Regions from separate parts of the Mus musculus genome. Here regions 1, 2, 4, 5, 6 and 7 are each reported to be linked to region 3. Evidence: microRNA targets listed by miRTarBase, many of them from high-throughput screens and not tested one by one. Region 3 holds a microRNA gene; each other region holds the end of a gene's coding sequence.

The links. The annotated mature microRNA mmu-miR-1192 reads AAACAAACAAACAGACCAAAUU and lies in region 3 at 2,851-2,872, opposite strand. An mRNA with a match to its seed (bases 2 to 7 or 8) in the 3' UTR can be bound and repressed. Matches are read on the target gene's strand: a 7mer-m8 pairs with bases 2 to 8, a 7mer-A1 pairs with bases 2 to 7 and ends in A, and an 8mer does both.
Region 1: miRTarBase lists Espnl as a target of mmu-miR-1192. Seed matches in the 3' UTR shown: 7mer-m8 at 3,367-3,373, 7mer-m8 at 3,363-3,369, 7mer-m8 at 3,359-3,365 and 7mer-m8 at 3,355-3,361.
Region 2: miRTarBase lists Vamp4 as a target of mmu-miR-1192. Seed matches in the 3' UTR shown: 7mer-m8 at 1,931-1,937, 7mer-m8 at 54-60, 7mer-m8 at 50-56, 7mer-m8 at 46-52 and 7mer-m8 at 42-48.
Region 4: the mRNA of Hdx is a reported target of mmu-miR-1192. Seed matches in the 3' UTR shown: 7mer-m8 at 3,419-3,425, 7mer-m8 at 2,731-2,737 and 7mer-m8 at 1,708-1,714.
Region 5: miRTarBase lists Hykk as a target of mmu-miR-1192. Seed matches in the 3' UTR shown: 7mer-m8 at 2,416-2,422, 7mer-m8 at 2,412-2,418, 7mer-m8 at 2,408-2,414 and 7mer-m8 at 2,404-2,410.
Region 6: the mRNA of Ube4a is a reported target of mmu-miR-1192. Seed matches in the 3' UTR shown: 7mer-m8 at 3,183-3,189, 7mer-m8 at 1,016-1,022, 7mer-m8 at 1,012-1,018 and 7mer-m8 at 1,008-1,014.
Region 7: miRTarBase lists Tacc1 as a target of mmu-miR-1192. Seed matches in the 3' UTR shown: 7mer-A1 at 911-917, 7mer-m8 at 27-33 and 7mer-m8 at 23-29.

What each region holds. Positions count from the first base shown.
Region 1 is chr1:91,345,517-91,349,680 of GRCm38, reverse strand. Espnl (espin-like) reads right to left here. Exons shown (of 9, transcript NM_001033292.3): 9 at 1,378-4,164. The coding sequence ends at 3,744. Among named protein-coding and RNA genes, the nearest start is that of Klhl30, 3.5 kb to the left of the region's middle.
Region 2 is chr1:162,593,976-162,598,139 of GRCm38, reverse strand. It overlaps Vamp4 (vesicle-associated membrane protein 4), which reads right to left. Exons shown (of 8, transcript NM_001356527.1): 8 at 1-3,594. The coding sequence ends at 3,566. Among named protein-coding and RNA genes, the nearest start is that of Vamp4, 26 kb to the right of the region's middle.
Region 3 is chr19:23,148,158-23,152,321 of GRCm38, reverse strand. It overlaps Mir1192 (microRNA 1192), which reads right to left and starts at 2,891; the gene lies at 2,771-2,891. All of the region lies in intron 1 of Klf9 (Kruppel-like factor 9), which reads right to left.
Region 4 is chrX:111,573,661-111,577,824 of GRCm38, forward strand. It overlaps Hdx (highly divergent homeobox), which reads right to left. Exons shown (of 10, transcript NM_001080549.2): 10 at 1,544-3,738. The coding sequence ends at 3,613. It also overlaps the pseudogene Gm7340. Among named protein-coding and RNA genes, the nearest start is that of Rps6ka6, 38 kb to the left of the region's middle.
Region 5 is chr9:54,945,929-54,950,092 of GRCm38, reverse strand. Hykk (hydroxylysine kinase 1) reads right to left here. Exons shown (of 5, transcript NM_177351.4): 5 at 169-4,027. The coding sequence ends at 3,567. Among named protein-coding and RNA genes, the nearest start is that of Psma4, 2.8 kb to the left of the region's middle.
Region 6 is chr9:44,922,494-44,926,657 of GRCm38, forward strand. It overlaps Ube4a (ubiquitination factor E4A), which reads right to left. Exons shown (of 21, transcript NM_001346698.1): 21 at 634-3,482. The coding sequence ends at 3,356. It overlaps Gm30934 (a long non-coding RNA gene), which reads left to right. Exons shown (of 2, transcript XR_379340.4): 2 at 1-1,752. Among named protein-coding and RNA genes, the nearest start is that of Atp5l, 3.8 kb to the left of the region's middle.
Region 7 is chr8:25,155,963-25,160,126 of GRCm38, forward strand. Tacc1 (transforming, acidic coiled-coil containing protein 1) reads right to left here. Exons shown (of 13, transcript NM_177089.5): 13 at 1-3,858. The coding sequence ends at 3,790. Mir8108 (microRNA 8108) reads right to left here and starts at 3,271; the gene lies at 3,163-3,271.

The DNA of each region.
Region 1 (4,164 bases), not on the chromosome of region 3:
GGCCCTGATAAGAGTCTTTAATCTTCCCTCTGAAATTTCACAAGCAAGGCCTCCATCTTCTGCACTGTTCTCAACATTATCTTCCAAGCGCCTTCAGAACACCCCACAGAGCTCTTAACACCGAATGGATCTTCTAGCCCAAAATTCCAAAGTCCTTCCACAGTCCTCCCGAAACATGGTCAGGTTGTCATAGGAATACCCCACTATGCTGGTACCAAATTGTCTTAGTCAGAGTTTCTATTCCTGCATAAAACATGGTAACAAGAAGCAAGTTGGGGAGGAAAGTGTTTATTCAGCATACACTTTCATGTTGCTGTTCATCACCAAAGGAAGTCAGAACTGGAATTCAAGCAGGTCAGGAAGCAGGAGCTGATGCAGGGGCCACAGAGGGATGTTACTGGCTTGTTTCCCCTGGCTTGCTCAGCTTGCTTTCTTATAGAACCAAGGACTACCAGCCCAGGGATAGTACCACCCACAATGGTCCCTCCCATCCTTGATCACTAATATCTTACAGCTGGATCTCATGGAGGCATTTCCTCAAGGGAGGGTCCTTTCTCTGTGATAACTCCAGCTTGTGTTAAGTTGACCACAAAACCAGCCAGTACAGGGTGCTTTAATGCACAGGTAGGATACCTCAGTGCACAGAAGGGACACCTCAGCCTGGGTGAGCAGGCTAGGCCGTATCATCAGTACCTCCCTCCTTCTCACATGTAGAATAACCATAGGTATGCTGCTTTGGGAGGGCACTAGGGATGGAAGTGATGTTCTCACAGACAGGGTCCCAGGTGGCCCTGAGGGACAGCCCTCCTGGCAGAGTGCTGGATACATGACATCTTCCTGTCTGGTACAGCAGCTGGGGACATTCATGTAGCAGACACTCACTACAGCCTCATTCCCAGGAAGAACTTGTTCATCCCCAGGAGAGCCCTGCAGGGCCTGCCATGTGCAGGGCCCCTGCTCTGTGCTTCTCTCCTTACTCACCTCCATGACCTTCTCCTTCGTCCCTCGTTTCTTGGCCACAGTGAGACGCTCTCTCCGGTTTTGATATTAAACTTCATGTGGTATAGGGGACCCTCATGGGTGTCCTTGTCTGGGAGGCATTTAGGGGAAAGATACTGAAGCAAGGTGAAGGCTTTGCTTAACACCCCATTTGCAGGGTCAGTGCCTCCCTGCTCTGTCTAGAGGGAGTGAAGGACAGGAATGGTGACACAGGCTCTGTCACAGAGAGTGCTGGCTGTGCCAAGTGAGCAGGTCCCCAGCAGACCATGCGGGCACTAGAGGCTCGGTGCATCATCAGATGACAGACCAGGCAGGAGACACAACACTAGTATAAGGGTCTGAAAATTGCTGAAGGAAGACCCCAGCCTCAGAGAGTATGCAAAAACAAAGAGTGTTTATTCTGCAGAAACAACCAGCATGCGGGGGGCCAACCATTTTTTGAAATGGTTACCCTAGATAAAGGTAGGTTACTTTAAAAGGTAGGGTAATCTAAAATTTCCTTTGTGAGTGCTAGTGGGTCACAGGTGATTAGAGGTCTGCATTTCTATGTCATGTTTAACCATAGGATGAGATAGGGCTGCCCAGCACAGGTGGCTCATTCTGAGATATTTCCCCATTTTGTGCGTATCCTTAGGCTGTTCCTGGAGCTGGCGCTTATGGCCTTCTTTTCGGAATCAGGCCTGGTCCTTAAATGGAGACAAATGGGGTTTCTGTTGCCCTTTCAACTAGGATCTCAAAATGACAGATTTCTTCCAAGGGCTGCACCTTTAAAATAGGCCTAGGGTGATTTGGAAAAAAAAAAAATCACACACACGGGTTTGAAAAGTATAAAGAAGAACTCTCCAGCAGCAAATAACAATATCCCTTACAGACTGTCAACCATGAGTCTGGGCGTGACGCGGGAGGAGCCCAAGTCACTGTTTTGATCACTTGATGGTGAATCATGAGCTTTGAGGAGATTGGTTTGAGAACACAGGTTTAAATTTCATCTGGACATGGCGATACCTTCCTTCCCAAGGCTGGAGGTGACACCAGGCACAGCTCCTATTCACGGGCTTTCGGGTCACTTTCCATTTTGGGTGCTGTGATGAAGAGGATCAGCTATGCAGTTATTTCCCCCAGAATAGACTCCAAGTGTGAATTCACCAAACTAAAATGTGCCACCATCTTTAAAAGGTGCAGCTTACACCAGAGGGCCGGGGCTGGGAGGGGGCACTTGCTTTTGCTGGTGTGTGGGTATTGTGGTGGCAATTTTATTTAGCAAACATATATCCAGCTTCAGCTTCTGATGAGACTCTAAAGGCAGAGGAAGCCAAAGGCAGAAAAGGAGGATTCACCCCACCATCTCAGAGCAGGTCCCAGGTGGGCCCAGGCTGGAGGCAACTTGGAGCCAGGACCTGTACCACTGCCCTTTGTGGCTCCCCCAGCACCAAAACCCATGCCCTGTGCCAACTTTATCTCCCTGGAGGTCCCCGTCTATGGGACCCTTACATAGTCTTGAGTCTGTATAGACTGCCTTTCTACTGTCATCCCAGAGCCCAAGGTTAGGACTCCCTGCTCCCCCTAGTGGTAATGCGGGGACACTGTAGGAGACTCTTGGAGATGGCCTGTCCCCACTGTGCATGGCTTTGCCCCTAAGAGACTTGACTGCAGATCCCTGTCCCATGCCAGTTGTATTCTCCTCAAAAAGTCACTACCCCAAAGTCCTCCATGGATTCCAGGCCAGTTCTCCTGGCCCCCATAAGGTGGGTGGTGACTCATCCTTCTGTCTGTCACCAGAAGCGGGAATCAAACAAGCTCTATCTTACAGTCAGCAATCTGGGGGTGGGGAGGGATCCCTCTCTAGCACCTGGCTCCTGTGGCTCTCTATGGTACCTGGAATCCCCAAGGTGTTTAACTCCTTTCTCTGTGCCCAAGTGGGAAGGTGACACCCAGATGTCCACATGAACACCCCTGCTATGTTTGCCCCTTGCTGTAAGCTGTTCCCAGCTTCTGAAGGCCAGTTTCCCTCCAGAGGATACCAACCTTTCTATTCAAAGGGTTCCTCACCTCTTGGTATCCTTGCTCTTAGGGACCTCCTGTGGCCCAGCCACGGCCTCCATCTGAGGGTCTTGGAAGGGTTAGTCAGCTGGAAGACAAAGGCCTAACAGAGAGCTTTCCTTCAGGGTCCAGGCAGTGCCAGAGAAGAGATGCTGCTAGCATTCATACCATAGCAGCTATGCTGACCAGCAGGAGAATCGGGGCAGGGCCACTTGTCTGCCTTGAGGCTTTGGGGTCTCAGAAGCTCTCCTGTCAGGGAGATTGGTCACTCTAGACACAGCTCCCTCTGGTTTTAGAGATAGGAAGTTGCCAGAAAACAAACAAACAAACAAACAATAGAGGCAGGCCCAGAGCTGAGGCCCAAAGGGAGGTGTAGAGAAGGTGGCCGTGTAGCTGAGACCACCTGAGCCATTAAAACTGACACCCATGTGACAGCTGGAAACAGAACCAGCTCCTTGGCTGCAGGACCCTCAGACCCATACGACCACTTGAGGGTCTGAGGGCTGTGCTCACAAGTGAGAAGGATTTGATCCCAGTCACTGCTCAGAAGAGATGGGCACCAAGGCCTAAGAGACCTCTGATCTCTATGAAGACAGACAGAAGTCAGCCCACTTCACCTGACCCCCGGGGAGCACAAAGAATGAACAAAGGAACCCCAAACCTCTCCCCCCCCCCCCCAGCGTCCTATCGCACCAGGTGAACAGTCATTCTCCAAAGTTAAACATCTCAGCCTCTTTCTCCTTCCAGAATGCGAAGCTGCGGTCGATGTAGCCACAGATGTCTCCGCTGTTGAAGCTGCTCCCCTGGGAATCAGACCCCAGCCTCGGCGGCACCGCAGGTTCAGGGCCGCTGCCAGGAAGGGAAGCATGGGGCAAGGACCCGAGTGGTGTCAGGCCCAGCTTGCGACCTGGCTCCACGTCCCAGGGGGGACCCTGGCTGGAGCCGAAGAAGCGGGCTTTGATGTCCTCAAAGCCGTCGGTCCAGGCGCGGCGACCCGCGGCCACCTCGTCGGTCACTGCCTTATGGAAGGCTCGCACAGCCTCCCAGCCGTGTGCGCCCAGATGCTCGAAAACCTCGAAGCACAGCAGGTGGCGCATCTTGCGCTCCTCGGCTGGCAGGTCGCAC
Region 2 (4,164 bases), not on the chromosome of region 3:
ACAGTAAGACCGTATCTCAAAAAAAAAACAAAAAAAATCCAAACAAACAAACAAACAAACAAAACTAAAGCCAAAACCAAAACCAAATAAAACCAACCAACCAACCAACCAACCAACCAACCAAAAGAACCAAGACATACAAGATAAACTCAGACCCTGTCAGTCTAAGGGAAGGCACATTTGTATGGACTAAGATGGCCCCTTTCTGTGTCTTCTGAGCCACTGCCTTTCTGCTGTTATTTGACAACCCCCACCTTCATGTGTTTAGACTGAGTCATGCTCTTACTATCACTCACAGAGAAGTAAAAGTGACTCTGATAACATTTCTGTGAGAAAACACAAAATCTGATTAGTAGTCCAGTTCCTAACTTCGTAACACTCTGACTCAATACAACTAAGAACATATAATGACATTTGTTTTCAACACTAAAAAAACTTCTTGCATATTTTCTAGCCATAAAATATCTATGAGATGTAAATACAAGTCTGTTTGGTCTACAGTGCCGACAGCACACAGAACAGGTGTTAAGTGACAAGGACAGAGGTCAGGCTCTTATCACATCTGAGGGCACCCACATGCCATACAGAACAGAAAGGTGCCGGTTGCTGCTATCAGAATGGCATTACTTTCTAACACAGAACCCAGAGTGGACTGTAATGAGAGTCTACAGGAACCCCATCACAGGCACCTCTGCAACTGATGTGTGCTACCCTTTCTCCATTTTAAACAATGTTCCATCATCAGCACTGGACCTTCTCTTAATCAATAAATTTCCCAGCTTATAAACTTTTGGGACATTTCCCAATGAGTTTTGTTAGGACAAAGGAATAAAAAGACCACAGGCAACACTAACACTGGGTTATGATGGAGGAGGAACCCATTCATCACAAACTGCTGCAAGGGAGAGGCTTCTGTTACAGAAAAACCACAGGGGCACGCATCAGGCACGGCAGTGGTGACCTGATTTCACTGGGCATCAACTAACATTAGCAAAGCTACTTGAATTTTTCTGTTGATCTTCACTGTTGTTAAATAGTGATAGTTTTGATGGTGGTAAAACTTCATTTTTTCAAGTGCAGGATGATCTGAGCTGAATGAGAAAAAGAATGATTAAGGAGGGAAGGAAGGCAGGCCTGACATCAGTCTGACAACTGTTTCTCCTCTGATTTGTTTGCTTGGTTGGCTTTTTTTTTTCTTCCCCCAGACAGGTTCTTACTCTATAGCCCAGGCTGGTACAGAACACACCATGAACCCCAGGATGGCTTCAAAATCAGAGAAACCTTCCTACTTCAGTGTTCATAGAGCAGGGGTTACAGGTGTGAGCCATCACACCTGGCTCTTCTCAGCATCTTATTGTAGAAACACCCACATTTCCAGTATTTCACCCTAATGTCATTGTTAGGTCTCAGGATTACATAAGACCAAAAGGGACAAAGTGATAAACTGGGATTGAAGCCATCACTGTTGTAAAATCCTCAGTCCCATGACAATAGGATTTCCTCAGATTCGAGAAATTTAAATATAAACAACTACATATATAGGTAGTTAAGTAATATGTTTTATAATTAATGTTTTAAAATTAACTTTACAATTCTATGTTTTATAATTGTTTGTTTAAAAGTGGCATACTTAATTAAAAGAAGATTGAAATTTGGAGTCTTCTAAAGAAAAACACCCAACACTTCATCTTCGCTAACAGACACTGAGTGACAGTGTCTTCCACACCAAGCAGTGGAACTTGTGACCTGAGGTACAAGACACACACACTGGGATCAGCTGTGCTGATGGAGGAAACACCTCCATCCCTGAGCCACCAGCTGCTGGAATGCAGAGCACTCCTTCTCCAAATGATGTATTCTCAGTTCAGATGCTGCGCACAGGAATTGACGAGCATGGTGAAAAGGCCAGAGTCGATTTTCCACAGTGTGCAACAAACTGTAAACTCCAGCAATTATACTTAGATACCTAGGCTACCACTTAATCTTTTTTTTTTTTTTTTTTTTTTTTGGTTTTTCGAGACAGGGTTTCTCTGTGTAGCCGTGGCTGTCCTGGAACTCACTTTGTAGACCAGGCTGGCCTCGAACTCAGAAATCCGTCTGTGTCTGCCTCTGCCTCCCGAGTGCTGGGATTAAAGGTGTGTGCCACCATGCCCGGCTCGGCTACCACTTAATCTTGTTTCCACCTTTTCAAGTTTCTTTCCAGTCTAAACATTTTGTCTGTTAGTATTAACCATTGTAGAATTAAACAAAGAAAAATCCAAATTGTTTTACACATTTTGAATTAAAATGATCACAAAAACTAATATCTGTTATACAGGACCATTGCCCCCAATCCTGGCCGCCCCTGTGAGCTCTCTTTCCAGCTTGAGATGTCCATGTGAACAGTTCCTGTGGTCTCTGCCTTCCCCCTGCACAGCAGGAAGCACCTTCACTTTGACTTATTTAATCAATATTAAGAGGCCAGTACTCTTTACAAGGAACACAACTTGTCCTAAGAGCAGGCTGGGGTCAATGGTGGCCCCTCAGCATCAGTCACTGAGTGAGTATGTGAAGACATCTATGCTCCTGACAGTCGGCTACTGACTGACACTGGCTGTTTGAAGACCTGTGACACCCATCTCCTCAGGAGTGTCAGAGAGCATGAGAATACAAGGTGAGAGGCACATGACTGCGCTAACTTCAGCACCTCTGGCACAGGGTTAGTTAAAATTAAAAAGAGAAAACCACTAAAAAAATGAAGTCAAGAAAAAAATTACCTGCAGCCTTCACTTACTCACGTCAGAATTAGTCCCTTTTTATTGTAGTTTAACTGACAACCAACTGGACCAAGACTGGGAGCTACATAGTGCTCGTTTTCAAACACTCCAATGACATTCTTCAAAAATTTTATTATCTCCAGTTTTATAGGACCATATTATGATTTTCACACTGTTTAAATTTCCCATTTTCAAAATCCAAAGACCAAAAAATTACCACGTATTTTCTTATACAGTCAGAATAGGTTTACTGGAATGTTTTCGGGTAGAGCTGAAGGCAGAAACATTTACAACACTTAGCTTTTGTTAATCCATAAGTGTGGAAATTGCCTGCAAAGCAACTACAATATGAAAAGAATGGCATTCTTGCAAATACTGATAGGATGGTTATGCATCTCTTGCAGCAAAGAGTCAGGACTCTACATAGGCTTCCTGGTCACCAGACTGACTCTCACTTAGATGCAATAATGTCTTTAATGCAACTGAAACACAAGTATGGGGCATTGTTATCAGGGTTCAACTATATATACAAATAACAGACTGGCAAGTATCTAGTTTCAAATTAGATCCTTGGAATAAAGCAAAATAGAGATATTTCTACATCAAATATAATTATTCAAAATGCATTTTGTTAGTTGGAAAGGTGATCATTCGATATTCTCAATGCTCCAATTTGAATTGGTACTTGCCTTTTAGTTTCTTGAAAAAGGAAATTTGAAAGTTCTATACATAGGTTTCATTTACATTATGCAGCAATCTTTAAATATTATTGTCCCAGATCTTGTTTAATGAGGGTCTCTGTCATCAAATCAAGTACGGAATTTCACAACTATAAGAACTGTAAGAGAAAAAAGTAAAACAAAACAAAAAAAAGAGAGAGAAAGAGAGAAAAGAACAAAAAAGAAAAAGAATGCATGAGAATCAGAACCGGGTCACACTGAGGCAGAAGCACAGCCCTAAGCGCACGCGTTGGCCACTAAAGGAGAAATGAGGGCCAGACTCGGAGCTAAAACAACAACTATGAAATAAGAAGAATGCAAAAAATGTCATCAACAACACAGCTGTCTAACACAGGCCTCTTGAGCAAATAAACTATGACAAAACAGTAAAAATATTTCCACATTTAACAATATAGGAACATAATGCATATAATATTAGAAATAACGGATGTGATCTTAGCTTTTGAAAATCATGCTTACGTATCAATAGGAAAAGACTGAAAGCATATACTTTTATTAATCTAGTTCTGTTAGTATAATAATTATATTGACAGCAGCTAGCGCCATCGTGAGAGTACAGTGGACTGTATAGTCCTTTTTATGCTCGTCTGCATTTTGCATGGTATCCATCTTGTTATCTGTTCTACCAAGTTATCATGAATGAATATGGTGAATACTGAGCAATATTC
Region 3 (4,164 bases):
CAACTTTCAGTTTCTAAGTAATGGGTTTTTGTCTTGTTTTGCTTGTTTTTTAATGTAGAATACCAAGCCTGGAGCTGTAAGTAGCACACACCTGAAATTCCAATTCTTGAAAAGGCTGAGGTAGGGGGATGGTGTCCAACGCCATCCTTGGTAGCCTAATAAATTTAAGTCTAGCTTGGGCTACAGGAAGCCCTGTCTCAGTAAACAAAAAGCTATGCACTTTAAGCTCACTCCCTCTGAATTTGCTAACACCTCCAAGACCTTGGAGTGCACACGGCGGCCCCTGACCTCTCTGCTTGGCCATCTTTGTGCAAGTGCAGAAGTAACAAGCCTCAGTACAGACTCTGTACTTGGATTGTTTCCTGAGCACAACGCATCATGGACGAAGCCCAGCGGTCCATAGAGGGCCAGGCTGCTGCGTTTTGAGGCTTACGTGGGTCTTTTCTACTCGCTACTGTTATTTTCAACCTTATGCTTGTGAGCCCTGAATGGGGCTGGCAGAACAGTGTCTGTGCAGATGTTAGAGGTCTCTAGGGAGCGCCAGAGCTCTGTATTTCCTCTTAAAGTCAGACCAGGAAGTGCTCAGAAAAGGCTGCTACCTCCCAGCCACGCCAGACCAAGTGCAACTTGTGGAAGCCCAGGTTAGGAAGGTCCTACTGGAACGGCACCTGAGGGGCTGGCTTGTTGTGGTCAAGTGGGACCCGGGTTGAGACGGGACTAGGTGCCACCAGAGGAAAGCAATGTCACAGTGCCCAGAATCTCACTCTTCAGCATACAGTGGGTGTGTGACAGCCAGTGGAGACCACCAGGCTGCAGGGATGACCCTTCATGATGCCAAAGCAGCCTGTGAGTTTTGCTATTCCAGATATCAACCAGGGAAAGAACGCGAGGAATCCCAAATTAGCATGGCTGTCTTGAGTTTTACCTCAGAAAGATAATACAATGTAATGTGTTAACAAGCTGTTTCTATAATTCCAGCACTTGCGAGGCTGAGGCAGAAGGATCACTGTGAGTTTGAGGCCAGTGTAGCTGTAGAATCGTATCTTTACAAACTCACTGATCCTAAGAACTCTTATACTGCCAAGATAGAGCTTTGCTCCAACGGGGGTGGGGGGGGGCGGTTAGTAACTATGCCCACTCTACCAGCTAGCTAGGTAGGTTGTGACAGATGAGGCAGACAGGCAATGCTATGCCATCATTTGTCTCCAGCTTCCCCCCTGGGGACTTCGCATTGCTGGTACCAGGGTATGGCTGTGGTGACAGAGTCTTACTCCACTGAACCACTCATTTCTGCAACAAAATGAGTCAGAGATTGGCCTGATTCAGTGTTCATCACCAGAAACTATGAAGGTTGGGTCTGAGCTCTCCAAACATGAGGCGCGCCCCCCCCCCCCCCGCCTCCTGCCCACCATGGGATCTGGACAAGTGACCCAAGCCGGCCTTGGATGCTCTCAGAATTCATCCCTCCTGCTTAGTCCTCCCGAAATGCTCAGGTTAGAGGCATGCACTCCACGCCCAACTTCATTCTGCTACTGTCTTTGAAACTGTAATGATACAACAACTACAACGGAATTACGGCAGCCCAGGAATTTAAGTCACTTTGGGGCGTGTGTGTGTGTGTGTGTGTGTGTGTGTAAGCTCTATTTTCTGTTTCCTGTATTTACTGTGGTGTTTCTGTTGAGTACGGTGCACATTGAAAGGACTTTGGAATCTCGATAGGAACCACTACATAAATGGCTCATCTTTACAGAGACCTTCTCTATTAAGTAACACCTGGGATAATAAATGCTCACGTAAATGTGATTCATTTCATCCCTCAGAGCACTGGAATAGATGATGTGAAAACCCTGAAGATCACACGGCTGCTTATAAAACTTGTCCCATGTGAAGCATTTGTTTGGTCTTGGTTCCCCAATCATCTCCTCAGGGGGGCCTGTGAGTGCATGAGCACTTGTAAAATATGTTGAAATTATCTGTACTCTGCCAGGTCCTTTCTGTCCATTCGCTCAGAGCCTATCTTTTCTGCTAAGCTCAGGAGAGCAGAGAAAATAAATGCTGCTCTTTGGCACAGCCTATTTGCAAGCCTAAGTGGACATCGGTGTTTGATTCGCCTTGTCTGGCCTCTATCTTCCTCTACTGGTAAGGAACAGTGCACCTTGCTTCCCTTTGCAGCCAGTCCTTTCTCTGAGCCCACACCTTCAGACCTGAGAGTCTTGGATAAATAAGTCTGTTTTCATAAGGGACACACCACTTAAGCTTAGCCGTGGCTTTCAGCCTGGGTTGTTTGCTGGAATCATTAGGAATGGGAAGTAGTCTTTCTGTGGGGCTTTGCTGAATTGGCAGGAAGTGAGTCTGGTGTTGCTTGGCAGCCATTTTAGTACCATTCAGAGACAGCCTGCTCATGAATGAAGCCAGAGCCAGCAAGAGGGTGGCAAAGCCATAGAGAGAGGGGGCACTGAATGTCCATCTGCATTCAGCAACTCCTGAACTTGGATCTCCATTTTTAATCTTTTTTTAAGTTTTGCTAAGTAGCCTAGTGTGCCCTCTAACACGTGGCAGTTGTCTGCTGCCTAAGCCTATCAAGTGTTGGGATTATAGGTGAGAGACACAACGCCCAGCTCAGAGCAAGTCCAAGTCTGGACTTTCTTGCTTGCAACCTATTTATGGATCCCAAACCCAGCCCCTGGCAGGTGTGGCAGCACTGGCCTGTCATCTCAGCAGTCTGGAAGCTGAGGCAGAAAGACAGCCTAGACCATAGAGTTGCAGGCTGGCATGAGCTATACAAGCCAGACCCTGTCTCAAAACACAAAAGCAAACAAACAAAAAGAGCAAATCGAAACAACAATGACAAATTTGGTCTGTTTGTTTGTTTGTTTTTACTGTTTGGAAGGAAATAGTTTCGGGTGACAAGGTCAGGAGCAGTTATTTTTGTTGACTTTCCTAACTAAAACTCATGAAAACTATCTTCACATCAGACCTGGGGCACAAGGAAGACAGCTTAAGATGGTGGCTCTAGGGCCAAACCCAAAAGAGCCATAAGAATAAATACAGAATCTCTTCTCACTGGGAGCAAGCCACTCAACAGCCCTCACGTACAACTTAGACCTTGAAACAACAGTAGGAATATCTCAGCATAACCTTGGACGAGTCTGATTCCTCCTGTTTAAACAAGAAAAGCAACACACTTCTATTCGGTCTTATGGGATTAACATTCAAGTGAAATGCACGTAAGCCACTTAGCTCAGGCTCTGAGACATACTACATGTTCAGGACGATAGTGCTCACTAAGTCTCAATGGCTGTCGCCATCTAACACACCTTTCACTTGTCACCATTGCTCAGCACCATCCTGAGTCCACCTAGAATTCTAAACAAAAATTCTAAGGCTCTCAAAGGTGTCTGGGATATGTATGTAAAATATATATTTTTTAATTGTAGTAATCCTCAGCAAAAGGTTGGCATGCATAATCTTTTAAATGACTCATCTGAACGTGGCCTCATAATTTCATGAATATATATAATTATGGAACCCCATTTGACAGGTGAGAAACCTGAGGTTTCAGGGAGATAAAAGCTTTGCTTGAGTCTTTGTGATGAGAGTTATGGAGTCAGGGTTAGGTTAGGCCTGGGCAGGTGCATGCTCCCATCACGGTACCTCTGTTTCTATGGTGAAGGTAAAGGCTCTTCTGGAAGCCCCTTGCCTTAGCTAGAGCTCCTGAGAAGTCACTCACTATTCTGATGGGCCAGGGCCTTGTCGTCACTAACTGTGATCTTAGCAGAGCTGATCCCCTGTAAAGGGCAGGTGCTGAAGTCCCCCAACCTTTCTCCCATTGTTCTGAGCCACAATGATCTGCAGTGTTGGCACATGCCTTTAATCCCAGCACTTGGGAGGCAGAGGCAGGCGGATTTCTGAGTTCGAGGCCAGCCTGGTCTACAGAGTGAGTTCCAGGACAGCCAGGGCTACACAGAGAAACCCTGTCTCGAAAAACAAACAAACAAAAAATAAATCAATAAATTTCAGGGGCCCAAGACACAGTGCTAGCAGCACTCAGGAGGCCCAGGTTCCATCCCCCAACCCCAGAAAACACTTTCATTCACGCAAAGACCCAGCAGCTCTGGCCTGGGATGATGGAGTGGAAACCTTTGGATCCCAGGTCCAGATTCT
Region 4 (4,164 bases), not on the chromosome of region 3:
GAGAACATCTGAAAAAATATGCCCGTGTCATTGTAGTACAGAAACCAGAAGCTGAACAAAGAAATCAGCACTGACATCTTCATCTTCAGAGTCTTCCTCTGCATCCGATTCCTCTGACTCAGATTCCAACAGCAGCAAGAGCAGCTCAGAGTCCTCCAGTGAAGCAAGCGACTCCTCCTCCTCCTCTGGCAGTCAGAGATCTGCCTCAGCTAAAGGTACAAAGAAGAGGCAAGGCAAGGCCGGGGGCGGGGTGGGGAAGAAGTAGATAAGTTAGCCAGGGACCACCAGGCATGTGACAGGAGGCTAGGAGGAGGCAGGGAGGACCAAAGACACCAGGAAGGGAGGACTGAGAGAGCAAGGTCTGAAAGACAGAGAACTCAGAACTCAGGAGACACAGACTGGCAAGATCCCCTAGCAGAGCACATGGAAGACAGAAGCCATGAGAATAGTTACAGCAGAGTTGGCAATGGCTGAGAACAAGGCTCACACAGAGAGCCAGAAGACAAGCATGGCGAGCCAAAGAAGAAGCGGTGAGAGAGAAAAGATTTCTTTTTCTGAAAATGAGAAACACAGAACCCAAAATCAGGACAGTGATAATGTCAGAAGAAAAGATCGCTTCAAGTCAAGGGAGAGGAGTTGAAAGCATTCTGACCATAAAGGAGATGACAACAGGTGTCAGAATGGTGCCAAGAGACGCTGGGAAAAGCCTAGCAGATGCCCTGAACATTCTAGAGAATCAAAGAGAAGTCAGGACGAGAGGAGAGAAAAGTCTCCAACAAAACAAAAATAATTCTAATGACAACTGAACATGCCTTAAATTTAGTCCAGTGTCTTTTTTACATTGATGGATTTTATAGAAAACTCTTGTAAAAAGTGCCTGTTTGTAAACTTTAAAGATTTTTTTGAGGTTTTATAATTGATATATCTCAAGGTCCTTTGTGTAAAATCATAAAGAAAAGAGGTTCAACAAAGGGGTAAGTCTTAATTTTTGTGAATAAAAGGGACAAATGTTAAAACAAACAAACAAACAAAAAAACCCAAAACAACAACAAAGAACACCTCCATTTAATATTTGTAAATGTTTTAGTTCCTATGTTCATAAAAGATATAATCCTGTGGCTAGAAGAAAAACACCAGGATAAAAGTAGTCCTAACTAGACTGTGAGGACCCACAGCTTCTATTTAAATGAAACTTTAAAAAGGAATAGAACAATTTATGCATCCTCCCAAAATTACAGATGTAACATTCTTTCTAAGAATCACATCTATAAGAATCCTTAAATTAATTATAACTGCTAGTTGAAAAACTTTTATTAATAGACTTGAAAAGGTTAACAGGAGACATTTCTTTGTGTTTTGAAGGCCAGCTTTCCTCAGGCTACCCAGTGCTAGAGTTGTTACTATGTGTCCTAGTACCCAGCTGAAATAATTCTTTTTATAGTCCATAGATTATTTAAAAATTCCAGTGTCTGCCACAGAATCTTTCCTATAGCGAGAGCTCCAAGGATATTTTTAATGAGCTCCAAGGATTTTTTTTTAATGTAGTAACACATTTCTAAGATGTGAAAATAATTTTTTGTTGTTTTCATTTGTTCTGTAATGAAAACCAACTAGGAAGTGTCTTAAACTGAAGCAGTTTAAAGAGAAACTCAATGGTACTAAAGAAGATCACAGAGAGACTTGAGACCAGAAATGGGTTCCTACTCAAACAAACGGAACCTAGGTGTGGTGGGGCACATCTGCCATCCAGGCATTTGGGAAACAAAGGCAGGAACAGCAGGACTCAAAGCCATCCTCAGCTATATTGGAAATATGAGGCCAGATTGGGCTACAGGAAAATTTGTCTTAATCCTCCATATAATAAAATAATCAGGGTTTCTGTATTTGTTGTATGTAGGGAGGACTCTTATTTTATGGAGAAATTTATGTGACTGAAGAGCTTAATCTAGATGTTTGAGCTTCTGTGGCTCAGTGGTCTTTTCCCTGAATGGAATTTGGTTTGTCAGCAAGGACTACCAGAAGTTGTTTGCAAAGAACCACATGACTTTCAGCTAAAGGACATGATTAGCTGACTACTGAAATATTTCTGCTGACAAGGAAGCCATAGAGGTTGTGTGGCAACAGTGTAAAATCAAACATTTGATGAACTGAATGGTCATCAGTGAACTTTACTTGTATATAGTAATGAGAAAGGACATTTCTGAGCTAGAGGGATTAATAAGGGCCTTTCTGGAATCATAAATTGGTATCAGTAAATTCTGAGATCAGAATAGCTGTAGTTAAGAAACTTAAACATATCTGAAACTTGATAATTGAAACAGTTATCTAGATGCTTCATGCATCTTTCAGGAATAGATAATAATTTAATCGTGTAATATAGTTCCACACAACCTAGTTACAAATATATGACATTGTGAGTTTAGGCAGAAACTAGTATTTTTCCATCTATAGACAGACCTTAGTAATACCATCTGGTATTCCAGAAGGGAAGATGCAAAAAGATGTCTACAGTGTGCTGCCATTTGGTACCTACTAATAGTAACAACTGGGTACCATGCTCATTTTAGGTGTGTATTCATAGAATAGCATCCAAGAGATCCAGAGGACTTTGATTTACAATCAAAGTATTATATATAATTATTTTTTTGACATTATTGTTGGCTTTGTGCAGGCCTCATATGGAAATGAGGTAAACTTTGTGGCAAAGTTGTATGTCTAGAATTAAATAAAAACAAACAGATACCAGTACCATACTTTGATTTCCTGTTTCACAAATTTTAAGATATGAAAAGTATTATGAAAATGTTGATAAACTTGAAGTATTTGTGCAATATTTTGTCTGACTCAATTATATAAATTTACTATATGGTAGAATATTAATCATCAATACTTATCACTTATTGTATACAAGAATTGAGATTAAAAGTGTTTTTTAAAAAGTACAGTTTTTATGTACTTAAATGTTTTGACATTTTGACAATGATTCTACTTTTCAGAGGATTTTTCCCTCTCCCCAGTGTCAGGAGTACCAATAACTTACAATTACGTCCTAGTAAGTGCTTCAATTTTCAATCATTATCTTAGGTCAAATTCTCATCGGAATTGAAAAATAAATCCCAGGATTCATCCAGGTTAAATATATGATTAGGCCTGTTGTAAATTTTTAGCCCACTTTCCTGAGTAAAAATGTATATGAATGATAAGAAAATGAAGTAGGAAGAAAGATGTAATGGCTACAAAATAAAACTAACCAACTTAGTAATGTTGTGATATGCTTATTTTCTATATTTCTGGATAAAATTAAGATTCTTCTTAAAGAATAAGCAAAAAAATCTTTCAGAAATCAGATATAATAGATTTCATAGTGGAGTTGGTCAAAATTAAATACAATTTCCTAGGATTTTATATAAGTTTTAAAAACAAACCATTTCAAGTATTGTACATGCTTTTTATTTTGTATTGTAGCCACTATATCTTGTCATTCCTTCACAGCATATGTTTGCTTTAACAATGTGTTTTTCCAGTTGAAGACTGTTTGGGAAACAGTACAGTTATCTTGAAATGCACACCTGTTAGGCAATCAACAGACTAGATCATATCCCCCACTCCCAATCACAAGCTGTCTGAGGCATTTTTCTCTGATAAAGAAGACACACTGAGTGAGGTATCATCAGGATCCGGCGAGGCATGACTGCAATCCATCTCTTCTAATTCTGGAGGTAAATCTGACAGCAGTGCCTGGGTCAAAAAGAAAAAAAAATCAATTGTGTTGCAGTAGGATTTTTTTTTTACAATTTTATGTTAATACTTGTAGTTCTTTTCTTTTAATGTATTGTTATGAATTTTAAAAAAAGAAATATTTCTTTTTAAGGATTTTACACATTTCCTTACCTAAAACAGTAACTCTTCATATAATATTAGGAAGGAACAAAATATAAATGCCAAGTATCTGGATTAAGTAGAGTAAAACTTTAGACAAAGGGGAAATCAAGAGGGAAATGAGCTATTCTGAGGACACCAGATACATCTAGGATGGCATTGTTGTAGACATGAACAACTATTTCAAACCAACGACCCTTCTTAGAAAAGGGCTTTTAAGTGGTTGAGGCAAGTAGTTTTCATGCTAGTTTTGTGTGTTCATTTCTTACTCATAAAAAGATTAAA
Region 5 (4,164 bases), not on the chromosome of region 3:
TTGGATCTGGGTTTCTTAAAGGGGGAAGCTTAGAAATTTAGTTGCATGTAGACGGGACCTGGCCTGTACTCAGGACCTGGTTTGCCCTGTAAATTCCAAGCCAGCCAGGGATATATAGTGAGACTGTTTTAAAAATGAGAGAGAGAGAGAAAAAAAGACCAAAAGGTAAAATATCCATACAATGCAGCATATATTTAATTTCAAACAGAAATTAGCAATATTTGCAATAGGAATTTAGTGGAGAATCTCTCTTAGCAAGAACAATCAAGAGAAACTTGCAGAGTTCCATTGTATAACAGGATAAACACTGATTTGGAATGAGACCCAAGTTCCAGCCCATTTTTCTGGTCCTGATTGGCCAAGTTAAATAAAAACCTCAAATATGAGTATCCTAAGTGTTTCACATGTGAATGATCTCATGTACTGCCCCCATGTGTGTGGGTGTGGGTGTGGGTGTGTAAAAACAAGGAAGGAAAGGCAGCAGGATGGGATTTTGTAGTGATTAGGAACAGGGGTAACAGCCCAAAGACCTAATTCAAGATCTAAGCCTGAGCTCCCTTCTAAAGCAATAAATCAGCTTTTCAAGGCTCTATTTCTTTATTTAAAAATGGAGATTAATCATCAGAATATCTTTGTGATTCTGTTCTGGATTAAATGAGGTAGTGCATGTAAAATAACATTCAATAATCATTGTAGTATAGTATATTCTACTGAAAAACTAATGAAGCAGGAAAGACAAAACCGCTCCAGATTTGTTAACCTAAAATCCTGATTTGTGAAAGCAGCAGGGCTCGATGGCTGACTGTGAGAAGGGCAAGCAGCGTGCCACACCAATATTTTGAGTGTGCGTAACCTGAAATATGATCCATTATTTAGTAACTATTTATTATGCCTCTACTATGTGCCAGAGTCTATGCTAAGAGGCTGCCATAGCCTCTTAAAAAACCCTCACAATTGACTCTCTAAGTACAAACATTATCTTGCTCTAAAAAAAGAAAAGAAAAGAAACGAGAAAGGAAAAGAAAAGGGAGACATGGAGAAGTTAAAAATAAATTGTATAAGTAAATTCAGAGAAATACCTAGTTTGGGAAGTTTAGACAGGTAGATAGGCAGGCAAACATCAGACAAGAGTTATAGTATCAAAGCCTACTCACATAGACGGATAACTACTAACAAGATGTTTAAATAAATGACTAGGGGTCTAGACCTGAGTCATCTTTAGAAAGCATGTGGTTAAACAAAAGAATGCAGTGAGTGGTCTATGCATGCCTACAGTCCCAGCTACTGGGTTGCATGGGCAGGATTATCATGTGAGTCCAGGATAACCATGCGACAGCTTGATTCCAGTATGGACAACACAGTGGAATCCAGTCTCAAAACAGAAAAGAAAAAAAAAAAAATCCCACCCTACAAGAATAAGTAAATAGCCACTTAGACTAGAGAGACATGAAAAGGAGCCAGTAAAGGAAATACTGAGATAAAACTTAAGCCAAGTATGCAATGCAATGATCTGCATTTTTACAGAATCTTATAAAAAGGCAATCATTAGTTATAGAGAACAAAGAACATGTGGGGCCAAACAGAATGGTGTATCACTATAGTCTCTGCATTGGGAGGCTGAACAGGAGGATCTTGGGAGCCACGATGTTTAAGACCAGCCTGAAGAGCATAGTAAGCCCTAACTGCTGAGGCGCCTTGCTGGTGTCCTGGATAATGGCCTTGCCTGGATGCCTACATGTGCTTCAATGCACTTGTGTCTGGAGTTCTGGTTGCAGCTACTCTCCCAAACAAGTTTTTCTCAGGACTCCCTCTTGTGTTTTCCCCGAGGGCTTCACCATATCTTTCTTCTTGCATGCATTCATTTTGTAAATGTGTCCAAAGACTTTTCTGTGGGGAAGGCACTATCAGAGGGACAAGAAGAGACACCCAGATGTAAGTTTTTCATGGCTGTGCCATGTCAATTTACAGGATAGATAACTGTACAACCATCAGCAGGTAAGAGTGAAATGCCACAAAAAAGATAGAATGCCTCACTTCTAGAGAGGTGAGATTAAGAGTCTACAGAATTTGTGATGTGTAAGCTATGTATTTAAGTTTCTCATGGTCTGTGTCATGGTAACTTACAAGATAGATGACTGTACAACAATATGCAGGTAATAGTAAAATGCCAAAAAAAAAAAAGACAGAAAGACCTCACTACCTCACTTCTTGACAGGTGAGATTAAGGAAGAATTCATAGAGTTAGCGATGTATAGGTTAGGTATTTAAAATATGTGGATTATTCAAAATATGTGAATATGTGTGCGGTGGTAGATGCCTTTAATTCCAGCATTTGAGAGGCAGAGGCAATTGGATCTCTATGAATTTGAGAGTTCCAGGGCAGCCAAGAAACCCTGCCTCAAAAACAAACAAACAAACAAACAAAATTAATATAGCTGTACATATGCATTCTTTTCAAAGTTTAAAAATCATTGATCTAAGGACGAGAATCGATCTTCGGAGACTGAAGACAAGTCATGTATCATCATGTGTGTTTCTTGTAAAAGGCAAGCATGACCTGCACAGAGACATGCTTACTTGGGTGGTACTTGTGTGGATTTCCTTGTTTCTGTAGTGCTGAGGTTGAACCCGGGCTTTGCATACTAGGCAAGGGTTCATCATGTAGACTTTCTTAAGAGTAAAAGATGGTCCAAAGATCGCTGTAAAAATTAGATCTTCCTTCACCAATTCCTATTTAGAATGGCTCTGTTTTGTTTTTTTGTTTTGTTTTTCGAGACACGGTTTCTTTGTATAGCCCTGGCTGTCCTGGAACTCACTCTGTAGACCAGGCTGGCCTCGAACTCAGAAATCCGCCTGCCTCTGCCTCTCAAGCGCTGGGATTAAAGGCGTGCGCCACCACTGCCCTGTGAGAATGGATCTGTTTTACCATTTCAGTTTTAACTCTGCACAAAAATCCTTCATAAATTTGTTCTAGGCCAACTGGGTTTTAATTAACACAAGCTTTTCTAAGGTCACTTGTAACGGCTTGTGTTCTCATGCTAATTATGTTACCAAAAATACCTGTTTGCAGTGTCCCACATTTAGGACTAAAGGAAGCCTGTCCCCAGTTAGTTTTTGACTTGTCAATAAAATTACCAGCGGCCAATGACTGGGCAGAGACAGAGGTGGGACTTTTAGGATTCCTGGGAAGAGACAGAGAGAGTAGGAAGAGAAGATTTTGCCACAAGAGGGGCATAGGACCACGCCAGAAAGATACAGAAGGGAAAGACCGCCGACATGTAGGTGCAGGGGGAAAGCTGCCCAGGAGGGCTGCCCAGCCAGGTCCAGGGCACAAAGATAATATATAGATTTTAGTAAGTAATAACTCAGGAATATTGAAGTGGAGTGTGCGTTAACCAAGTGGAGTTAGGGAGTGGCCCGGCAATTGACCTGCTTAGGGCATATTAAAAATAAGGTTGTGCGTGTGTGTCTTTCACTCGGGAATCCAGAACATTGTGGGTGCATAGCGCCGAGCGCATGTGCACCACCGGGGAGTTTTGAGCGATTTAATTTTTTTACCGCGGCAGTCACATGGATATCTCAGATTCATAGGACTTGGCAGTTTCAAACCAGATTTCTTCAACGGCTTTCTGGCCCATGTCGAACAGCTGCTGTAAATGCTTCCATCCGGTTTTGGCTGTAATCATGAGGTACTCTTTGTTCTCTGGGTACAGCTGGCAGGAGTATGCAGCCATGACGAGAGACTGGCTAAAACGACTGCATACAAGTAAAAACAAAGCCTGCCTCTCTACAGCCGTCAGGGGGATCACACTTTCAAACCCTGCGAGGATGTGACCTCCTACTTGTATAGGGTTTGTGCTTTCAATCATCATGTACATGATAACGATTGCCACTTCAAACACATAGTAGCCATAGCTCATGTCACCGAAGTCTAAAATCCCAGACACTTGATGCACACCTTCTCCAGAGGCTGACTTGCTGAGGTCTACTAAAATGTTATGGTCATTAAGATCACCATGATTAATACCTGAAATCAGAAAGATCATGTAAAAAGTTATTTAAAATGCTAACTCATTCTCTTTCTATCTTTCTTTTAAAAGCACAGCCATCTAAATAATTTGATGAACAAGCAGAGATAAAAGAACAAACTATTTTCTGAAAATA
Region 6 (4,164 bases), not on the chromosome of region 3:
AAGTATTAAAAGGTCTGTTATTTAGGTTGGATAGTGAAGCCATAAAGGAACTAATTAGAGTCTAAGCTCTTAAGACTTTCTCCCGAAGACAGCCGGAGGGTACCTCTAGAGCAGTGGCTCTCAACCTTCCTAACGCTGCCACCCTTTAATACAGTTCCTCATGTTATGATGACCCCAGCCATGAAACGATTTTTTGTTGCTCCTTCATAATGTAATGTTGCTGCTGTTGTGAACTGTAAATGTGTGTTTTCTGATGGTCTTAGGTAACTCACAGAGAAGCACTGCTCTGAAGGTCTTTAGTGAGGCGTTAGGTCAGCCAGGTGATACACATTTGCTGGCACCCTGCCTTTGAGAAACTGGCAAAACCCACTAGGTTTTCAGAAGGACTTGTGAAACTGTCACTCATCTTTTCTTTCTGTGGTAGTGGTACTGGGATTGGATTTAGCAATGTATGTGCTAGGCAAGCTCTACCAGACTTTCCTTTGAAATGTCTTGATGAGATGCCTGGACTGGCTTTGAACTCACTAGGTAGCCTTGCCCTTCAATTCTCTGTCACCAGTAGTGGGAATTCCAGGCACACACCACACCAGGCTGCCACTAGCTTTCCGTACGGCAATGAAGAACTAACAAGGGTGGTAAGTCAGGTGCTTATTTATTAAATACAAGTTTTGAGCACCCTCCCCCACCCACCCCCACACACAGGCAAGTCTGACAAAAAGTAACTTTCCTGGAATGTCTCAAATACAGTTGTCTATTGAGTTTGATTTCAGTTTAACCTTTTTTGCTGTTTTGTTCTTCATTTTCTGTCTCTAGCATCAGTCTGGCTTGTCACAGTACCCAGTAGGCTTTGGCTTTGCCCAATGGCTGCTTAGCAACCAGAACCAAATAAAGTAATGAAGCGTTTAGAGTGTGGTACTGAGCAGCAACTGGCACTTTCACCTGCACCGTTCGTTATGCTACTTCTCAAGTGTCCCTCAATTTTCACACACCCACGGAAAGCTATATTAAACAAACAAACAAACAACTGCCTGAACTCTAAACAATTTTCCAAGTTTAGTATTAGCCTCTTGGTGAGGTGTGAGCCGACTGAAGTCTTCACTTTCCTTTAGTACTCCAGCAAAGCCGTCATGTAAAACTCGGTAGTCAGAAGTCTTAACAGATTTACAGCCGCTGCAGAGTTCCAGACAAGACACCCTTTGACCTTTGCAATGCACATATGCCTCTTATTGTACCAGGATGGAAGTCTTTAGAGTTTCTTTTTCTGGATGCCTTTAAATTAGTTCACAGAAAGAAAGAAGGCACAGAGGACACTTGGTTTCCTCACCACAGTGGCCTTAAGCTACACACGTGCTTTTGTGATTAAAGGAGTTCAGCAGCTTGGGTGGCGTCACGGCCATTCATAGGAAAGTATCAGAAGAGTTTAAAAACAAAACAAAACACAAGCTTGCCAAAACAGGCTTACAATCTGACGGTTCAGTTCAGAAGCAGAATACAGACACTGGAGGCAGCACGGAGCCCATTCACTAGAAAGCTGCTGGCAACAGCTGTCTTCTCAAGGGTTTGTACCCATCTTCCTCCATTTTTCACTTGTGAAACTTGGGTCTTCCCTCTTTTTCAAATAAGAGCGTAAAAGCATCCTCCCGCATTCACTCTGGAAAAGTAAGAGCAGCAGGTAGAAGCTTATTTCATATGCAGTCCATTCCCAGAGAGGGAGAGGAGAATGCTGCATACAGGAAATGAAGTTCATTTAAAGGAAAGAAATCCTGTCAACATCTAGCTAAATGCCCAGGGGCACACTGAGTCTGCCTTAACCTTCCGGCATTTATAGATATGCCCGAGGCTTCCCTGTTCACAACAGGTACATTCTTCAATAGCCAGAGTGAGATGCTCTCTAATCACAAGTTTTCCAGTTGACACCAACAAGAAAAAACACACAAAGGACTGCCTATAGCAGCTTGTGTTGGAATACTGAAACAGCGCTTTTGCATATGTATACTCTTTTGTAACAGTAATGTTCTGTAAAAGAAGCCACAGCCACATTTTCTTGTCCTTTACACCTCTGGGCTGACACTGATATGAAAACATCCCGCAGAGGACTGGGCCTCTTAGAGCAAACAGTTGGGAGAAGTGGGCAGAATCACTTAGTAACTACCCAGAGAGAAGTATTTATTTAAAATGGCTTGCTTTAATGTCTACTTTGTTAATTGATAAACTAAGGCTAGATAAGAAGCAGCTCTTAGAAGCCAGGTCACAGCCCAAACACTAGCTATGTACATTGTAGTCTTAGGGTTTTACCTGACTAGAACAAGTGAGAAAACACTGCCACCAACTACATAAATCTTACCTGGGAAGACACGATATAACGTGGCACTCAAGTGAGACTAATAAAAAAAGGACACAGTATCTGTGTTTAACACATATACACTGAGATATACTGTTTTAAGTGTCCTAAAATGACATTTTCATGTAGATAGAATATTTATTGCCTATTTTACCTAGGCCTAGACCTTGGAGCACAAAAGAGAAAGGGGCCCAATAGCTTCTCATTTATCCTTTTACTGCAAGTTCCACACATTACTGTCACTCACTGAAAGATTGTGCAGCTATGTTTTTGGTGGTGAGATCCTCATAGGAGTGTTTGTTGTGATCGTATCTTTAAGTGACAAGATAATACAAAAGTTGTATAAGATTCCCTCATCTCCACCAGCCAAAAAAATCTATACACACACTAAGGTATTTGCATTTATCTGGAAAGTTACTCTGTAATATTACAGAGCTATATTAAGGCCAGATGCTTAAGTCCAGACCTTATGGGCTAGTAAATACACAGGACAGTAGGATTTTTGGATGTTATTACTGTCATTGAAGTAGCTGACATCATAGACTTAAAAGCAGTGCTCACTAAAAAAAATGTCTGAACAGTACTTGGGAAGGGAAAGAAAAAAATGGCAGGACATTTTTGTTGTTGGACTTAATATAATTTAGGATAGAAAAGGAAACAAGGAGAATAGGAAAACCGAGGCTAAAATTAGTGATGATTTATAAAGATGCTGTGAGGAAGAGAATTTTCTATAAGCCAGGGAAAGAACAAGGTCTTAAGAATCATAATTATCATAATTTGCACAAGAACAATTTTCTAATTTAAACAACAAAGAATGAAATAAACCAAAATAAAAAACAAAAACAAACAAAAAAACCCAACCTAACCCAAACCAAACCCCAACAAAACAAATCAAAACAAATCAGAAAAGAAAAAGAAGAGGCTCAGAGCCAGGGGGTGGGGGGCAGGAAGAGAGCGAGCGAGCGAGCACAAGCACCAGCTCACGCCCGGGCGTGCATGTGCAGTTCACAGTATTTATTCAGGCTGCTCCTTTTGTTGCTTCCTTTCTGCGAGCCACCGTTGGATTTTTTCTTTCAGTTCTGTGTTGGGCCGGATCTGGTCCATGGTAAGGGGACTACGGTTAAAAGGATCTGTTTGGTCACTAGGACAAGAAAAGAATGAAAAGTGAGTTACTTCTGAAAGTTCTAAGACCCTAGGGCCAAGCAGAGCATCTGAACATCCCACATGCGCTGTGACCCAAGACATGATGCACTATAACTGAGTCCAAAACTGACTCCTGGGTTAGGAAGAAGGAAATGAAAAGGGTGCGATTTGAGTCTTCTTCAGTTTCTCTGTCTCTACCTCATAATAAACCTTATTCAACTGCATTCAGGTTTTTGTTTTATTTCTGTTGTCTTTTTTTTTTTTTTTCAGTGTTTACACAATGTTTCTCTGGGTAGCCTTGGCTGTCCTGGAACTCACTCTTTAGACCAAGCTGGCTTCGAACTCAAGAGATCCACCTGCTTCTGCCTCCCAAGTGCTGAGACTAAAGGCGTGCGCCACCACCTCCCGGCTGTCATTCAGATATTGATCCTAGTGGTTTTGCAAGCTGGAGGTGGTGGTGGTGGTGGTGGTAATGGCTCAGTCATAAGTGCATTGAATGCTCTTGATAACCTGGATTCAATTTCTAGTACCTATATGGAGTTTCATAACCATCTGTAATTTTAGTTACAGGGGAGTCAATGTCTTTTTCTGACCTCTGTGAGCACTAGGCACACTCATGGTACACCTACATACATACAGACAAAACACATGTATAAGTAAAATAAGTAAATGTTATCTTT
Region 7 (4,164 bases), not on the chromosome of region 3:
CCCAAGAAGACTTTAAAAAAAAAACAAACAAACAAAACCTGAGAGGGAGCTTAGAGGGCCACAGTCCTACAGAGACACAGCAGGAACAGCTGAGCAGAGAGATCATCTGAAATGGAGCCCCGGGGAATTGGGAAGGGGGCTTCAGAAGGGCCACGCCACTTTCAATTCAGCATGCCCTGAACTTAGGCCACAGATCCTAAAGAGACTGTGAGCCGCAGAGTGCCCTTTCTAGCCTGCGCCATCTTTGCTGAAAGGGAAGTCTTTGGCCTGCCATGCTCAGCCCAGGGCTGCCCAGTGAGCGAGCGATTGAGCAAGCTTTTGTACACAGGCATGTCTGCAGGGGGAACAGGGCCACTGGCTGGAAAGGAAGTTTAGCGTTAAGCTATAACCCTGAAATCAGGGATTTCATCCCATCCACTCTGGGCCTCCCAGCCCTGTGCTTCAGGACTTCCTAATTTGGTCTGTTTCTCAAGATGCCTGAATCCACATTAGAGCTTCAGAGAATATGAAGTGTAGGGGAATTCCCGGTCTCCAAACAGAGCGAGCACTGCTTTCCGACCCACCGTAAGCTGGGTCAGTCTGTAATGCTGACGGACAGGTTAAGAATTGCCTGTACTTTGGCAAAGCAGAACTGAAGAAACGGTTCTCAATGAGATCGTCTAATATCCCACAAGCCACTGTGAGCCTTTCTCCTGTGTTTTATATCTTGTTTGACAGTGCTGGGGATTGGCAACAGTGCCTGGCACATGGTCGGCAAACGCTACCACCAGACACAGCTTTCAAGTCTTTGAAAACAAGGGCCCCACGGTATAGCCCAGTCGAGGCCTGAACTTTTAGTCCCTGCCTCTGCCTCCAGGGTGCTAGGGTTATAGGCATGTGCCACCATGCCTGGTCCCCCCTTCTAATCACCTAACAAAGAAGCTTTTGGCCCCTAGCGTGTGTTGAAGACGACTTTATATTTTTTACTCTCCAGGGTGCTAAAAAGCTTTTTAGGGCTTATATAATTAAAACAAAATAAATAAATAGACTTTACTCTGCCTAGTATATTTTCTTAATTTGCCAGTTGTGCAAGCTACATTCTTATTCTTGGCGGAGGATCTTCGAAAGCTGGACGTTGTGAACATTTTCCTGGTAATGGTGATGACTAAGAGGCCACTGGCAAACACTGCTTAGAGGGCTAGTTCATGTCCCCTGTACGGCAGCTTCATTTAGCAGGGCCTGTTATTCAAGGCCCGTCTGCCAGTGTGCAGGGAGGGACAGCCACTGCTCCTCTCCTATGCCTAACATACAGCACAGCACAGGACACTTTAAAAATATGCATGCTTAGAAAGATGACAGGGGAAGATACAGTTCCATGATAAAGCACTTGCTTAGCATGTTCAAGACCCTGGGTACAATCTCAGTACTATTAAAAGAAAAAAAAAATCAGGGAACAAGAGATTTCCGATGGAGACCCTCTTAAGCTTTCCATACTGAAAATAAGTCAATATAAAATGAGCGCACACTGATGCCGCCGTAACACTAGCAAGAATTCCTGCGTTGCTTCTTAAAATGCAAAATTAACTTCCCTTGCGGAAGACGGCTAAGCTGACATTGGTTATGACCCTTGAAGACACTTGAACATGACACTATGTCTACTGCTATGGGCTTTGCATTAAGCCACTGTGACAAAATTCAGAGCCCAAATGATTGTCAAGCCATTTCTCCAACCACAGATAACTTCTGTCTGCTTGTGGGTTGTTGGGGTTTTTTTTCTTCTTTTTTGTACAAAATGTTAAAAGACAGTAGGCCTCAGAATATAGCCTAACCTAAGCACCGGTTATAATAAATGCATATTGACAAAAATGTGATTTCTAGCTTGAAAAGACATTACTCACTTCCCTGGGGCTAAAAGTTACAGCACATGGCAACACACTGCTAAAGGAACACTGTTTTTAAGATCTATGGAGGTTCTCCATGAGGCACAATTCATTGCTGAAGTCGGCTCATGCAATGGTTTTACAAGGAGGGATATGCCTGTGTGCTAAATAGTGCACATTTACCATGAAGACACAGGGTATAAGATTAAGGCAAAAAAAAAAAAAAAAAAAAAAAAAAGGCATCAAAACTTGAGTGGACTTGACTTTGCCTGTTAGATAGATGGAAAGAAGTCACTAGCATCAAAGAGGGAAATGTCTATTTGGGGATTAACGCCCTCAGGGTAAGTCCAGTCTGAGTTCATAGAATTTTGCTTTGTCTTGTGGACCTCCCCCCCTGCTCCCCTTCCCAGCATTCAAGCAGTCTTTGTTTAGAATATTCCCAGGGGCTGGTTTGGAGAACGAGCCAGAGGACTCTTTACGGCCGGCCCGTTCTGTTTAAAAGCCCATCTCCAGTATGAAAGCAGTTGCTGTTGCTGTTATTTTTAAGTCTCTAAAAGGGTGCCGTGCCTTTAAACAGGGAAAACCTAGGCTCTTCACTCTCTGGCTGGTAATGTGGGCTTCTGTCATCTTTTAACAAGATCAACTAAACCTTTCCCACATCCCACTGGTGTGCGGTTCAAATAAATAACAGAAGTTGACTTTGCTTTAGAGACTCATCGGCCCCGGGGTGGACGCATGCATCCAAGGCCAGCTCTGAGGGAGGCCACGCTGCTGCTTTTGGTATGAGCATAAGGGACCATGCTGAGGTCCTGGGGTATCCAAACACCGGGGCAGCAGACAGCACGGCAAATCTTCCTTAGCCATGAAAGCTATGACCCCTGGCCCTCGTATCCTCAGCCTTTCCACCCTGACTCAAGGTTTGGTTTGGGTGTTTGATTTCTAAGAAAAGGACTGTTTGCCTAGTGCACTGCTGTCCTTAAACTCTGGGCTCAAGTGATCTTCCTGTCCTGCCTCCCACTAGCTGGGATACCCCATGCTTCCACTCACTCCTTGTTTGAAGCAAGAACTCACATAGTCCAGGCTGGCCTCCAAGAGGCTATGTAGTTGAGGGTGACCTTGGACTTATGGTCATCCTGCCTCCACCTCTGGAGAGTTGAGATCACAGGCATGCACTCCAATATCCAGTGTTTGTAGTTCTGGGGGCCGAACCCAGGGCTCTGTGTACCGGAAGCACTCCCCAGTAGAGCTAGGTTCCCAGCCCCTACCGAGTCTGAAGCTGGCTTTTAGACCTAGGGCTCTGTTTCAAAATAAGAGCCTACATTTCTTTCTGTAACTACGCTCCTCCCCAGAGGGTCTTATCTGGATATGCCTCAGGGGAAAAGCGGCAGAATGTAGAGAACACATGCATGAGTCCGTCTGTAACTAAAAGGGAGTTCGGAGCCCCAAGTGTTAGTGACGATGACTCAGACTGCCCCCTTCAGTAAAACTGCTGATACTGAAAACTTAAAACATTAACTAGGTCATAAAAACATCAAACAGGAGCTGGGAAGATAAACCCACACAGTTGCCACAAAATTAGAAATGTCACAAACTTGGGAAAAGCAAAGACGACGACGACAGCTAGATGAACTCAGGCTGTAGAAGCACAAGCCAGACCCAGCAGCAGCTCTAACGGGAGCTGGCAGCCAGGTCGCAGGGCAGAGCTGTCTTGTGACTCCCTCTCCACCAGCCAGGCCGCAGCAGCAGCAGCAGCAGCAGCAGCGGCAGCGCAGCGGCGAAGCGGGGACGATGGCAGCAGCAGGCATGTGCTTTGAAACAATTACTTCTCTCTGCAAAGGGGGGTGGGGGGCATTATTTCTGGATAAGGCAAGATAATGTGGTCACGACAGAAGCAGCCAGACTCGGATCTGCACAGCTCACGGGACGGCTCTCAGTCGGTCTTTCCCAGCTTTGCGATCAACTCGTCACAGATTTTTGTCAGCTCCTCAATCTCTTGATTCTGAAAGACAGAAGATGGTGATTTGCTTTGTGTTCTGAGAGAAGAAGCCAGTGGCTAGACCCTCCGGAGCATCCTACTGGCTCTCCACTTCTCTGTATCACAGTCTTTATAGAAAAGAAAGCCAAATGCCACCCACCCATCAAAGTGTGCCTGTGTTCACACAGTACTATGCTAAAACTTAGCTGAGGGTGCAAGAGCCACCAATTCTCTTGAACCTTGCCCGTAAACCTTAGGTCCCAGGTTCTCTGGTTGTGTGAGGGTCACTTGCTAGAACACAAGTGTGCGGGTTTCACTTAATCTGCCAGC